Linked DNA regions of Arabidopsis thaliana. The protein of the gene in region 3 interacts with the protein of the main gene of each other region in a pairwise test. Each region holds a gene or a part of one and is shown on either strand. Other genes may lie near its edges.

Region 1 (3,755 bases), on a different chromosome or scaffold from region 3:
CGTTCGGATGGTCTCTGCTAACATATTTAGAACGCTAAATCCTCAACCACGGGAAAATAAAGTTATCGATGCCTTAGACCTGGAGGAGGAAGAACCTTCCATGGATCTTGCGTGGCCTCACTTGCAGCTTGTGTATGAGCTTTTCTTGAGGTTTGTTGCTTCGCCTGAAACTGACACCAAGCTGGCTAAGAGATATATAGATCAATCTTTTGTCTTGCGGTTACTGGATTTATTTGATTCCGAGGATCCTAGAGAAAGAGATTGTCTGAAAACCATTCTCCATCGGATCTATGGTAAATTTATGGTACACCGACCTTTCATCAGGAAATCCATTAACAACATCTTCTATAGGTTTGTTTTCGAAACAGAGAAACATAATGGGATTGCTGAGTTTCTAGAAATCTTGGGAAGTATCATCAATGGATTCGCTCTTCCCTTGAAAGACGAGCACAAAGTGTTTCTTGTTCGAGTTTTGATACCTCTCCACAAACCAAAATGCTTGCAAATGTATCATCAACAATTGTCTTATTGTATCACACAGTTTGTGGAAAAGGATTGCAAACTTGCTGATACGGTTATAAGAGGATTGTTGAAATATTGGCCCGTGACAAACAGTTCCAAAGAAGTCATGTTTCTGAACGAGTTGGAGGAAGTACTCGAAGCAACTCAGCCACCAGAATTTCAACGGTGCATGGTACCACTGTTTCGCCAAATAGCTCGATGTTTGAACAGTCTGCATTTTCAGGTACCTGTCATTCTCCATTCTTTCTGAAATAATAGCACCTCACATTTGTTTTTAAACTGGCGAATTTCCCCGTGCTTTGACATTTCCTGAAAAATGCTCTGTTGCTGTTAGTGTTGGGTTTGACATTTGCAGGCCATATCGTTTCGACATACTTTAACTGCATTAGTGTTTCACCTGTTTATGTTAGCCTATTAGATTGTTATATAAAAAGATCAAATGAAAGAGTTGGGTTTGTGGTAATGAAAGTATCTACGTATAGGACTGTTGTATTGTGTTCTGGATAATATCTGATGCAGTTTCTTAGCTAAATAAGGCTTATGGTTACATACTTTAATTGTGTTAGTGTTTCGCCAGTATATCTGTGTTACCTTACCAGCTTATGAGAAGTCGTTATAGCCTACCAGTTATATCAAACGAGCAAATGGAAGAGTTGATTTTGCGGTATGGAAAGTATCAATGTTTAGGACTGTTATATTCAGCTCTAGGTGTTACTCAAGGCAATTTCTAAGCTAAATTGATATAGTAAGGCTATTGTTAAGTAGAAAGTTACAAAAGAAGAAAAAGTATTGCGTTGAAGGGTATCTGTTTTGGCTAAACAGTGACTGCATACGATCTTTCACGGGAAAAGATCAGTCTAGTAGGTTCAGGATCTTTGTTTCAGTCTATTCATGCTCTGTCTGGTTTTCGCAGGTTGCAGAGAGAGCTTTATTCTTATGGAACAACAATCACATTGAGAATCTGATAATGCAAAACCGTAAAGTCATTCTTCCAATTATATTCCCAGCGTTGGAGAGAAACGCACAGAAACATTGGAACCAAGCTGTTCATAGCTTGACACTAAACGTGCGAAAGATATTTCATGACCTTGACCCTGAGTTATTTAAAGAATGCCTCGCAAAGTTCAAGGAAGATGAATCAAAAGCAGCTGAAACCGAAGCAAAACGTGAAGCCACTTGGAAACGTTTGGAAGAACTCGGAGTGCGAAAGGCTTCATAAAGTTAGAGTTGTAGAGAAGAAAGAGAGAGAAAGAGAGCTTCTGTATCTTCTATTGACATGTTGTTCTTCAGATACATACTTGAGAAGAGAAAAGTTTCATATTGGTCTCTTGGTTTGAAGGAAAAAGGAAACTCAAAGATGTAAGATTGTTCCTGTTTTGATTTCCATTATTTTTATTTCTTGTTTCCTCTTAAATCTTCCTGCTTGTTAAAATGGGTTATTTTTGCTACATTGTATGATCATCACTTGTTCCACTTTCTTGAGACTTGTCTTATTCATTCATCTTCTGCTTTCATGATACCTGCAAATATTGCACTTATAGGATTTGGCCTTTTGTATTTTCAGTTGTATCAGAAAAAAAATCGTATCTTTATAAGCAAAAAAACACCTTTTAAAAAAAGTTTTTTTAAGTTTTCAACAGAAACTCAAAGAGAGAAGACCAAATTGTTGGTTTGAGTATTTTGGGTTTGTGGATTTGGTTACGAACTCCATAAGTCTAGGAGGAACTCTGAAAAGATCTTCATGGAGAGATCGGTTTAGTGGTTGGATTTGAATCTTTTAATGGTTATGACTTCAACTAAAAAAACACTGTCGAGAGATGTTGTTTCTTGTCTTGGTCAGTGAAAATTTTCTCTGGTCTTAGGGTCTTCTCTCAGTCACCATCCTCTCTTTCTATCTCTCTCTCTCTTTACTCTCTAATCTTTATCCATTCTCTCTCTTCTTCTCTATGCCAACGAAGCAATAGCTATGAAAAGCTAAACCCTTTCCTTCTTCTTCTTCTTCTTCTTCTTCTTCGATTGTTTAGATTACTTGGGTTTGACCCAAGTTTGCTTCTTTCTATGATTCATCAATCTAGATCTTGCTATCTGGGTCCAGAAACGATTCACGCGCTTCATTCATGATATAAAGTTACTACCTTTTTTTTATTTTACCTTCTGGGTCATGGTTTTGTCTGCTTTTCGTCTTTTGCTTTTGTCTGGATGATTCATAATCTCTCGAGATCTATTATGTTCACAAGAGTTGTTCTTATGCGTGGTGAGATGATCTTAGGAGTGTTTCACTATCTTTCTTCAATTCGGGTTTTTAGTTTCTGAGATCTGTTTTTGAAGAATCTGATCTGAGTTTGAGGAAGTTTGACTAAATAGATCGAAGAAGATGTTTAAGCAGATACTTGGGAAGCTTCCTAAGAAAACTTCTGCTAAGTTTTGGGATAATGGTGAATCCCAAACTCTAGATAACAACAACAATCAAGGAGGAGGTGATGAAGTTTTAAGCCAGAGAACGTCATCAAATGGAGATACTAGTTTGGATTGTGTTTCTTCTTTTGATGTATTGCCAAGGTTGAGAGATGTTTCCATCTCTGAGAAGCAAGAACTGTTTCTTAAGAAGCTTAGACTATGTTGTCTAGTGTTTGATTTTGTAGCTGAGCCTCAACAGAACTTCAAGGAGAAAGAGATCAAAAGGCAAACACTTCTTGAAGTTGTGGATTATGTTATCTCTTCAGGGAATGGCAAGTTCCCTGAATCAGTTATTCAAGAAGCTACCAAGATGATTTCGGCGAATCTCTTTAGTAATCCTCATCGACAATGGAAGAACAAAACTCCTGAGGCATTGGATTTGGAAGAAGAAGAAGGATCTTTGAATCCTTCTTGGCCTCACTTGCAGATTGTTTATGAGTTCCTTTTGAGAATCGTTGCATCTCCCAACACAGACCCCAAGATATCCAAGAAATACATCGATCATACATTCGTTCTCAAGCTATTGGATTTGTTTGATTCTGAAGATCCGAGGGAAAGAGAGTATCTGAAAACGATACTTCACCGCATCTACGGGAGGTTTATGGTTCATCGCCCGTTCATCAGGAAAACTATGAACAACATCTTGTATGATTTTATATTCGAGACAGGGAAACACTCGGGAATCGCCGAGTTTCTTGAAGTTTTAGGATCCATCATCAATGGATTCGCTTTACCACTCAAGGAAGAACACAAGCTCTTTCTTACTCGTGTCTTGA
Region 2 (3,755 bases), on a different chromosome or scaffold from region 3:
AAGGAAATAACAGTTAGGATATAAAGTTTAGGGTACTGACTGTTTCATCCCATCCAGCAATCATTGTGCCAACAGAAAGTCCCATTCCACGATATGAATAGAGCATGTTAGCAAGAAGCTTTGAAGCTCCTGAAACAGAGATTCTCCTTTTGTTTGCCAGCTCATGTAGACGGCACTATGATACACAAATAAAACACTCTCTATCAGGGTCATAGTTTCAACATAATCCAGATTTGGTATACAAGTTAGCAATCAAACTATTAGGATAAAACTGGGACTAGATTTTGGATACAAGAAATCAACGAAACCATTTGTATGCCCTTGAATACAACAACTCAAAACAAAAAGATTGATGCATAATGATATATAAATGTTTAGTTCACAGTACTGAGAAGCTAAAGCCACCACACCACGCAGAAAAATACATTACTAAAATTGAAAGAGACACACGTTCTTAGGTCACCAAACAGATAATAAAGACTATTCTTATTCCAGGAAACAGACGGATACAAAACGTTTTTAAGTCTCTAACAAATGACTCAACAGCTTTCGGATATCAATACATTAGCTATATGAAGTTATGAACAAAGGGAAGGTAAGAAGTAACCGGATTGCCACAGCAAGGAAGATAACTGATAGACCCAATCATCAATTCAGAAAGCTAACAAAAACTAACGTTAGGGTACCTTAATTCCCAGATTTCTGTGCCAGAATTGACAATCAGCAGCACCACCAGCCATTGTACCAAGCATATAAGGATTAATTTCAATAATCTTCTTCACAGATTGCGACGCTGAATGGAAAAACACAAACAAAACATCAGCAATCACAGAAATTTCTCCTTTCTTTTACTGTACAGTATCACTGGCCAACACAACAAAGATTAGAAATTTCTATAACAAGAATCTAACTCATTCTCCATTTTTAGGATCCTTTAGAGAGCTCACAACTAAAACACAAACAGAAATCTGAAATAAACATAACAAAAGAGAAACATACAGATATATCCTCCCATGCTAGCTCGAGAATCAGCAGCTACCATAACACCTTCCTTAAAGATAAACGCAAGTGTAGTTGTACCCTTTGCAGGCTTCACCATCTCCACAGCTTTTTTCTGAAACCCATCAAACTAAAAAACCAACAACAAACAAAAGCAACATATCACAATCAAATAAAAGCAAAATCAAAGTATATTGGAATCCGAAAGAACTCTAATTTCGTAACTAAAACTCACATCAGTGGTACGAGGAAGATCAAACGAAGGTGCAGACGAAAACCCATCAAGCATCTCACTGTTTGATCCAAAGCCAATCACAGGCATAGTTGTCTCCAATCCACTAGTGTCAAGCTTCATTGTCAAATTTCTACAGAATCATCGAATACCCACAATTATTCAATAAAATTATGCAAAATCATGAAGCTTGAGAGGTACCCAAATCAGGGTATTAACAAAAAGAGCTTCCTTTCACAATTCAAATCGGATCTAGCACGAGATTACTTTTGTACGTGTGTGTATAAACCATAAACCCTAATACTTCATTGTAAAGTCAAAGTAACGACAATTAGGGGCCTGAGACATACCTGAAGAGCGAAATCGAGTAGAAAATTAACGAAGCAGAAGAATGTGTGAGAATTGGAGAAAAGAGAAGCAAATTATGGAGGGATGTTTCTTGAGCTCTGGGCAAACCGAATGCGAACGGGGCAAGATATGGGCGATCGGGTCGGGTTGAATCATTTCGGGTCATACCGCTTAAGTTTAAAGACAGAACAGTGTTCATTATGTTGGGCTTCATGGGCCATTATTGGCCTTTTCTTCTTTTTTTTTTTTTTTAATTTCCTTGGTTATATGAATATTAGGTATATAACTTTTTATTAATCATTTGTTATTCAAATAAATTTAGTAAGACAAGTCAAAATATTTGGATCAAATTTATCAGGTATTATTCGTTTATTATTTTATTTTATTAGTTGGAATAAAGTGTTATTTTAATCAAATTTTTATGGATTTTACATTGGACTTTAACAGATTTTAAAATGTTTATGGTTAAACATACAAGAGAAATTGCCTCATATAGCACCATATCAAGATTTTTGGTTCATATCTAAAAGTTAAAAAATTTAATGTTAATGTTTGGTTTTAAAATCAACAAGGCATTCCAAATCCTATGTGCATTCAAAATTAATAAACACCTCCTTAAACTTAAATATTAGATAGTATTCTTCTCTTTCCGTGTGAAATTTATAAAGTTAAAAGTCTTAAAACAGCCTCTTAAGTTTGGAACATTCTAGTTTACAAAAACTAACGACGCAATTAAAAAATGATTAAACAATTAACGATTCTTGTAGACTTGTAATACCAATAAATACAGAAGATTAATTATTTCTAACAGTGGCAAAAAAAGGTAAAAGAAAAAAAATGAGCAAACGCAATTGCAAAATCGCTAGCGTTTGGTATTGCATCTTCTAGCTCGCATAGCTCCTAAAGGAGGACCATTCAATGAAACGCTGCAATGAGTATGCAACTTATAAGAGTACCTAAACAATGGTCCTATATGCGAACGTGCATGAAACATTCCTCTCAGGTTCAACAAAACCGGACCTGTTTCAATCTGACGCTGCAGCTCCCGGCTCTGCGTTGCCTGAAGCTGGACCTGACTGCTCACAAGATGAACATTCGCAAACATTGACGTTTTCTTAGGAACCTTGAAAGGTTCAATGTATTGAGTTGCTATGAGTGTGTTGTAATAGTAAAGCTCGAATGTCACATAGCTAAACTCCACACTACTTTTCTTGCTTGGGTTTGTGACGTTTGCTAAAATGGTTAGATCACCGTTTAGAAGAAAACCCATGTCGAGATAAGCAGCGTTTAGGTTAGCAGCTGAGATGTCGACGTAAGGTGAGCGAGGACGGTAGACGAGGTAAACGATTAGGATGATAAGACCGCCGAGAATAAGAATGACCCAGAATATTGCACAGCAAAATGCAGCTGACCATGTCATTGCGTTTGTCTCTCTTGAGGGTGGTGGTAACCGTGGGCCACGGCGGTGATGCGGGGATGGTGTTGGAGCGGTTCTCCATGGACTTGGTTTGGGTATTGGAGGTAATGTTGATCCATAACCCCCTCCGTTGCGTTGTGGTGCTTGTGGTGGTGGAGGTCGTTGTTGTTGATTATCTTCAGGGCTTAATAGCAATGGTCTTTTCGATGAGTTTTGAGTTTTTCGTGGTGGAAGTCTCTCCTCTGGGCTTAATGGTACAGGTATTACAGAATGTTTCGGTTCTTGGATTGGATTTTCACGGTGGCGACCACGAGTCTTGATTAGGATTCCTGGTGGAGCTACTGGGTGAGGTTGCGTGGTTTTGTGGTGCGATTTTTTTGGGTGCGGAATGGGCGGGATGTGTGGTTGGTTCGAAGATGTTTGTGAGGTAGAAGCACCACCGCTTTTGAGATGTGGATTCTGCGATGGAATTCGCGCAAAATGAGGGTTAGTTTCATGGTGATGATGATGAGACATTTAGATGAAGAAGCTAAAAAGCATCAAAGGAAACTAAGTTAAGTAAGACTTGAGATGAAAGAATGAGAACAGAGAGATTTTGAACTGTTTTAAGTTTCTAAATGAGATAGAGAGAGGGAGAGAATAACTTGGTGACAAGTTCAAGTAAGGATTCTTTGTTGTAGAAAACAAAATAAAGAAGGAAAGTGATAGCACGAAGCAAGTAATCTTTGTTGTAGATTCCTTGCACTAAAATTAAAATCA
Region 3 (3,635 bases):
GCCTAGAATGGAGAGGGTCATGTGATTCGGTTTAGAATGTGAAGGAGTGGTTTTCAATTTGAACCCATCTTGAAAGCTCAGTGAAAAAAAGTTTGTATTGTTTGAAAATGAGATGCTGTGGTCTTAGTAATGATGCCTTGGTGAGGATATTAATCTACGTATGGTTTACAATGAGTCGACTGTAAGTTTTTGTTTCATGAGTGATACTTTAAACCCCATTCTCTAAGTCTGTTATATGTCTTGGCATGAGACTCAGGGAGTTTTAACAGTTTTTTGTTCTGCACCATTGTGATTATTGACAGATCTTCGAGACGTTCTTGCGCAGTGAGTATGGAGGACCTGGTACACTCTTGGTGATACCTTTCATTGACATGGCAGATACTCTCAACGAAAGGGAATTGCCTGGAGGTCCACAAGCCGCCCGAGCAGCTATTAAATGGGCTCAGGATCATGTAGACAAGGACTGGAAGGAATGGACCGGCACTGATTAGTCCCCTGGGAGCATTAAGTATAATCCGTGAGTTATTTAGTTTAGTAGTGGGGTAGCAGATGTGTCATTGTAAAACTCTGATTACTATGTCGTGAAGCACTTAATCTTTGATCAAAAACTGTTTGGTGTAAACTTGTCCAAACGACTGGAAACAAGAAAAAGAAAAGATGGCAAAAGCTTTTTATTGTTCTTATTCAGAAGCTTTGTGTCCTCTGAATCAATCTCACACATCAACAAAAACCACACTTCTTACAAACTTCCATCGATTTCCCCATCTGCAAAAATATATACATCGACGATAGAGGGAAAAAAAAGGAAGAAGAAGTTCTGTTTTGTTGACTCTCTTGAGCTTTCTCTGTACTTATCTCTTCACATCTTCATCTAGACTCCATCCGTTTATCCTCTGTAATATCCAGGAAAAAAAAAAACAGAACCAAAAAATTATTCAGTAGAGTTTCGGATCAGGCTCTCCACTCTAGATCCAGATACTGTTTCGAACAAAAACCAAAAACATTCAGCTAGTAGCTTCGGAGATGCTCTGAAGAGACGGCCTCCATGTTTTAGACTTTAAGAGGGAAGTTGAATTCCTTATAACACGAAATTGCTTCCCTTGTTTCTTCTCCTATCAAATAAAACACAAACCTCATTAACTTGATTCGTCTATCGATCATTTAGACGAAAGAGGTCACAGTTTTTTACGTCACAATTCAAAAACAGAGTAAAGATAGATCTTTTAGCAAAATCCCATGTCTTTACCGGAACTTTCTTGTCCGAGAACTTCTTCGCCGTGGTTGTCTTCTCAATCTGATGTTTTTTCGTCTTGGCGCTCTTCTTTTCCCGTAACACCTTCATCACTTCTGTAAAATTACAATAACCATCTAAAACCATAAACTCCAATCACACACACGAGGAGAAAAAAAAAGAAAGAAAGCAAAAGGCGAAACCTTGTGAAGTAATGAGCCGGTAAGCGTGACCGAGCACAAGATTCTCCGTTGGCCGGAGAAGCTGGACACGTGTAAACCTCACAGCCTTCCTCTGCTTCTTATCATCTCCCTTCTCCGTCGCTGGAATATTCTTCTCTTCCTCCTCTGACAAAGGAATGATGAGAGAGACGTAGTGACCAGGATACATAGCCATGACCTCGGTGACGGATACAGAGCTATAGTACCGGTCGATAATCCCGCCGGGATGTTGTAGAACCAGCACTGCCGCATTCACCGCCTGACAATTCCCCATATATGCAGTGGGAGAAAAAAACACACTATCTTTTGATGTTACCTAAGAAACGAAAGAAAGAAGAAAAAATGAAAACAGAGTAGAACTCTGTGAAAAAAGGAGAAAGCGGAAGAGAGGAAAAAGTTTGCCGGCGAGGGTAGGTCCACACACTCTGCTACTCTCACTTTAGCTTTACTTATAAACATGCGAAAATCCCAATTTTATATTATGATTTTATTTGTTATCACTAGTGTAGAGTTATTTATGATTTTTATTATTGTTTATGTAGATTTGACTGTGATCAGTGCCATCGGGAATTGAATAGGAATAAGATGGTCAGAATTTAAAAGTCGGTTAGATTGGACAGGTGGCGACGCCGAGACTATGGAAGAAATGATTAAGATGTGATTGTTTAAAATGGAATAGGTTTGGTATACAGCATGAGGAAAACAAGCACTATCACATACCAAACATTTTGAAATTGCTATCAGTGATTTACTTTGTTTTATATTTTACTATTTGGTAAGTTTGAGTTACTTTAGATATTCTAATCTTTTTTGAATTAATTGAAATTAAGCTGAATGATTTTTATGGTTCAGAATGATTTGTAAGATTTTGTAATTCTTAGTTTTTTGTTTACAAGAGATTATTTTTGTCAACGGGCAAAACAGAACGTTATACTTCAACATTAAACGTAAATAACGTAATGAAGACTTTTGTTTTCTCTTTTGCAAGATCCAATGCATTTCCACTAAGGATTGTTTGTTTTATATATCATCTACCTAAATTGATGTATAATCCACTTCATCCCTAAAAAGAAAACAGAATATATTTACATCAAATGTTTACTTTCCTTTCAGTTTCTCTTGTATATTTTCGCATATCTATGACTTGATTAATGAATATTATAACCCCCACTTCATCCATAATTCAGTTTCTATTGAAATCTTTGTATGACATCAAATGTTTACTTCCCTTTCAAGGAATTAGGAATATTTCATAGCAGCACTTTAATCATTATCATCAGCGCGTGCATGGAGTTAAATGCGAATGTCTTTAGGCGTGACAGAAGTGAAGCTCAACGAATTATTATGTAGTAGATGTAGTTAGATTAACCAAGTGTAATTTAGTTTTGCTGGTTAATGTTATATATCTTCCAAAGAGGTTATATTACATAACTTACATAATTAGTTAATTACTACATTCCATGAATCACGATTTAAACTTTGTTTTAAAAGGATTTTGGTCTAGAAATCAAAATAATAGAGAGAAACTTCAAATTGTTTATTTGGTTTACTCGCAGCGACTAGTTTCACTTTTCAGGTTGATGTAAATGGATAATTTTATTATTTCGTTGATATCTTATTCATTATTAAAATTTCGTGTTTTATTAGTTATTACTTGTGCATAGCCTATTTTAAGTACTATAATGTTGGGTTAATACTATAGAGAGTAGAGACCGAAACAGTTTATGCGGCAACCAACACGTAAGAAATCAAGATTTTAAGATTGTAAATTATGCATGTCCTTTCGTTTTCTGTTAGAGCCAAATATATAGATCGTCAGTTTTTTGATAATGATAAACAACATCGTAAGTTTAAATAGTACCTTTTCGTTAAACACAAACAAAACATAAGTAGTACAGTAACTAACCATTAATATTTCATCAATGAATATATCTAACAATTTCGAATCCCAATTATTATTTACTACTGAACTGTGATCACATGCATGAACATGAATCCCAATTTCGAGTCTGAGTGTACTTTGATGCAAATTTTCATGAGAAAAGATTTCACTGAAAAATTGAATTATTAATATATAATTTTTTTGTTACTTTTTTTGTTACTGGATTTCAAAAATTAGAGAACACAACTAGGCCCAAATCCAACAAAAGCCCAATAATTAATTAAAATGGAAGTCGCAGGTC

The links.
Region 1: the proteins of AT1G10530 (region 3) and ATB' DELTA interact in a two-hybrid assay, tested with the Arabidopsis thaliana proteins (one large-scale study listed by BioGRID).
Region 2: the proteins of AT1G10530 (region 3) and AT3G26340 interact in a two-hybrid assay, tested with the Arabidopsis thaliana proteins (one large-scale study listed by BioGRID).

Annotation. Positions count from the first base shown.
Region 1 is NC_003074.8:9,514,845-9,518,599, forward strand, and holds the start of ATB' DELTA (serine/threonine protein phosphatase 2A 55 kDa regulatory subunit B prime delta), read left to right. Parts: upstream 1-2,108; 5' UTR 2,109-2,896; coding exon 2,897-3,755. Other genes in the region: AT3G26020 (Protein phosphatase 2A regulatory B subunit family protein), read left to right, coding at 1-454, 542-745, 878-910, 1,122-1,232, 1,436-1,741. UniProt on the Arabidopsis thaliana protein: The B regulatory subunit may modulate substrate selectivity and catalytic activity, and may also direct the localization of the catalytic enzyme to a particular subcellular compartment.
Region 2 is NC_003074.8:9,651,219-9,654,973, forward strand, and holds the start of AT3G26340 (N-terminal nucleophile aminohydrolases (Ntn hydrolases) superfamily protein), read right to left. Parts: upstream 1,719-3,755; 5' UTR 1,582-1,718; intron 1,365-1,581; 5' UTR 1,355-1,364; coding exon 1,235-1,354; intron 1,130-1,234; coding exon 1,000-1,129; intron 794-999; coding exon 687-793; intron 176-686; coding exon 41-175; intron 1-40. Other genes in the region: AT3G26350 (proline-rich receptor-like kinase), read right to left, coding at 2,442-3,512. UniProt on the Arabidopsis thaliana protein: The proteasome is a multicatalytic proteinase complex which is characterized by its ability to cleave peptides with Arg, Phe, Tyr, Leu, and Glu adjacent to the leaving group at neutral or slightly basic pH.
Region 3 is NC_003070.9:3,470,801-3,474,435, forward strand, and holds AT1G10530 (D-ribose-binding periplasmic protein), read right to left. Parts: upstream 1,875-3,635; 5' UTR 1,727-1,874; coding exon 1,435-1,726; exon of another isoform or gene 1,348-1,434; coding exon 1,247-1,347; intron 1,113-1,246; coding exon 1,005-1,112; 3' UTR 656-1,004; downstream 1-655. Other genes in the region: PRIN2 (Serine/Threonine-kinase), read left to right, coding at 303-491.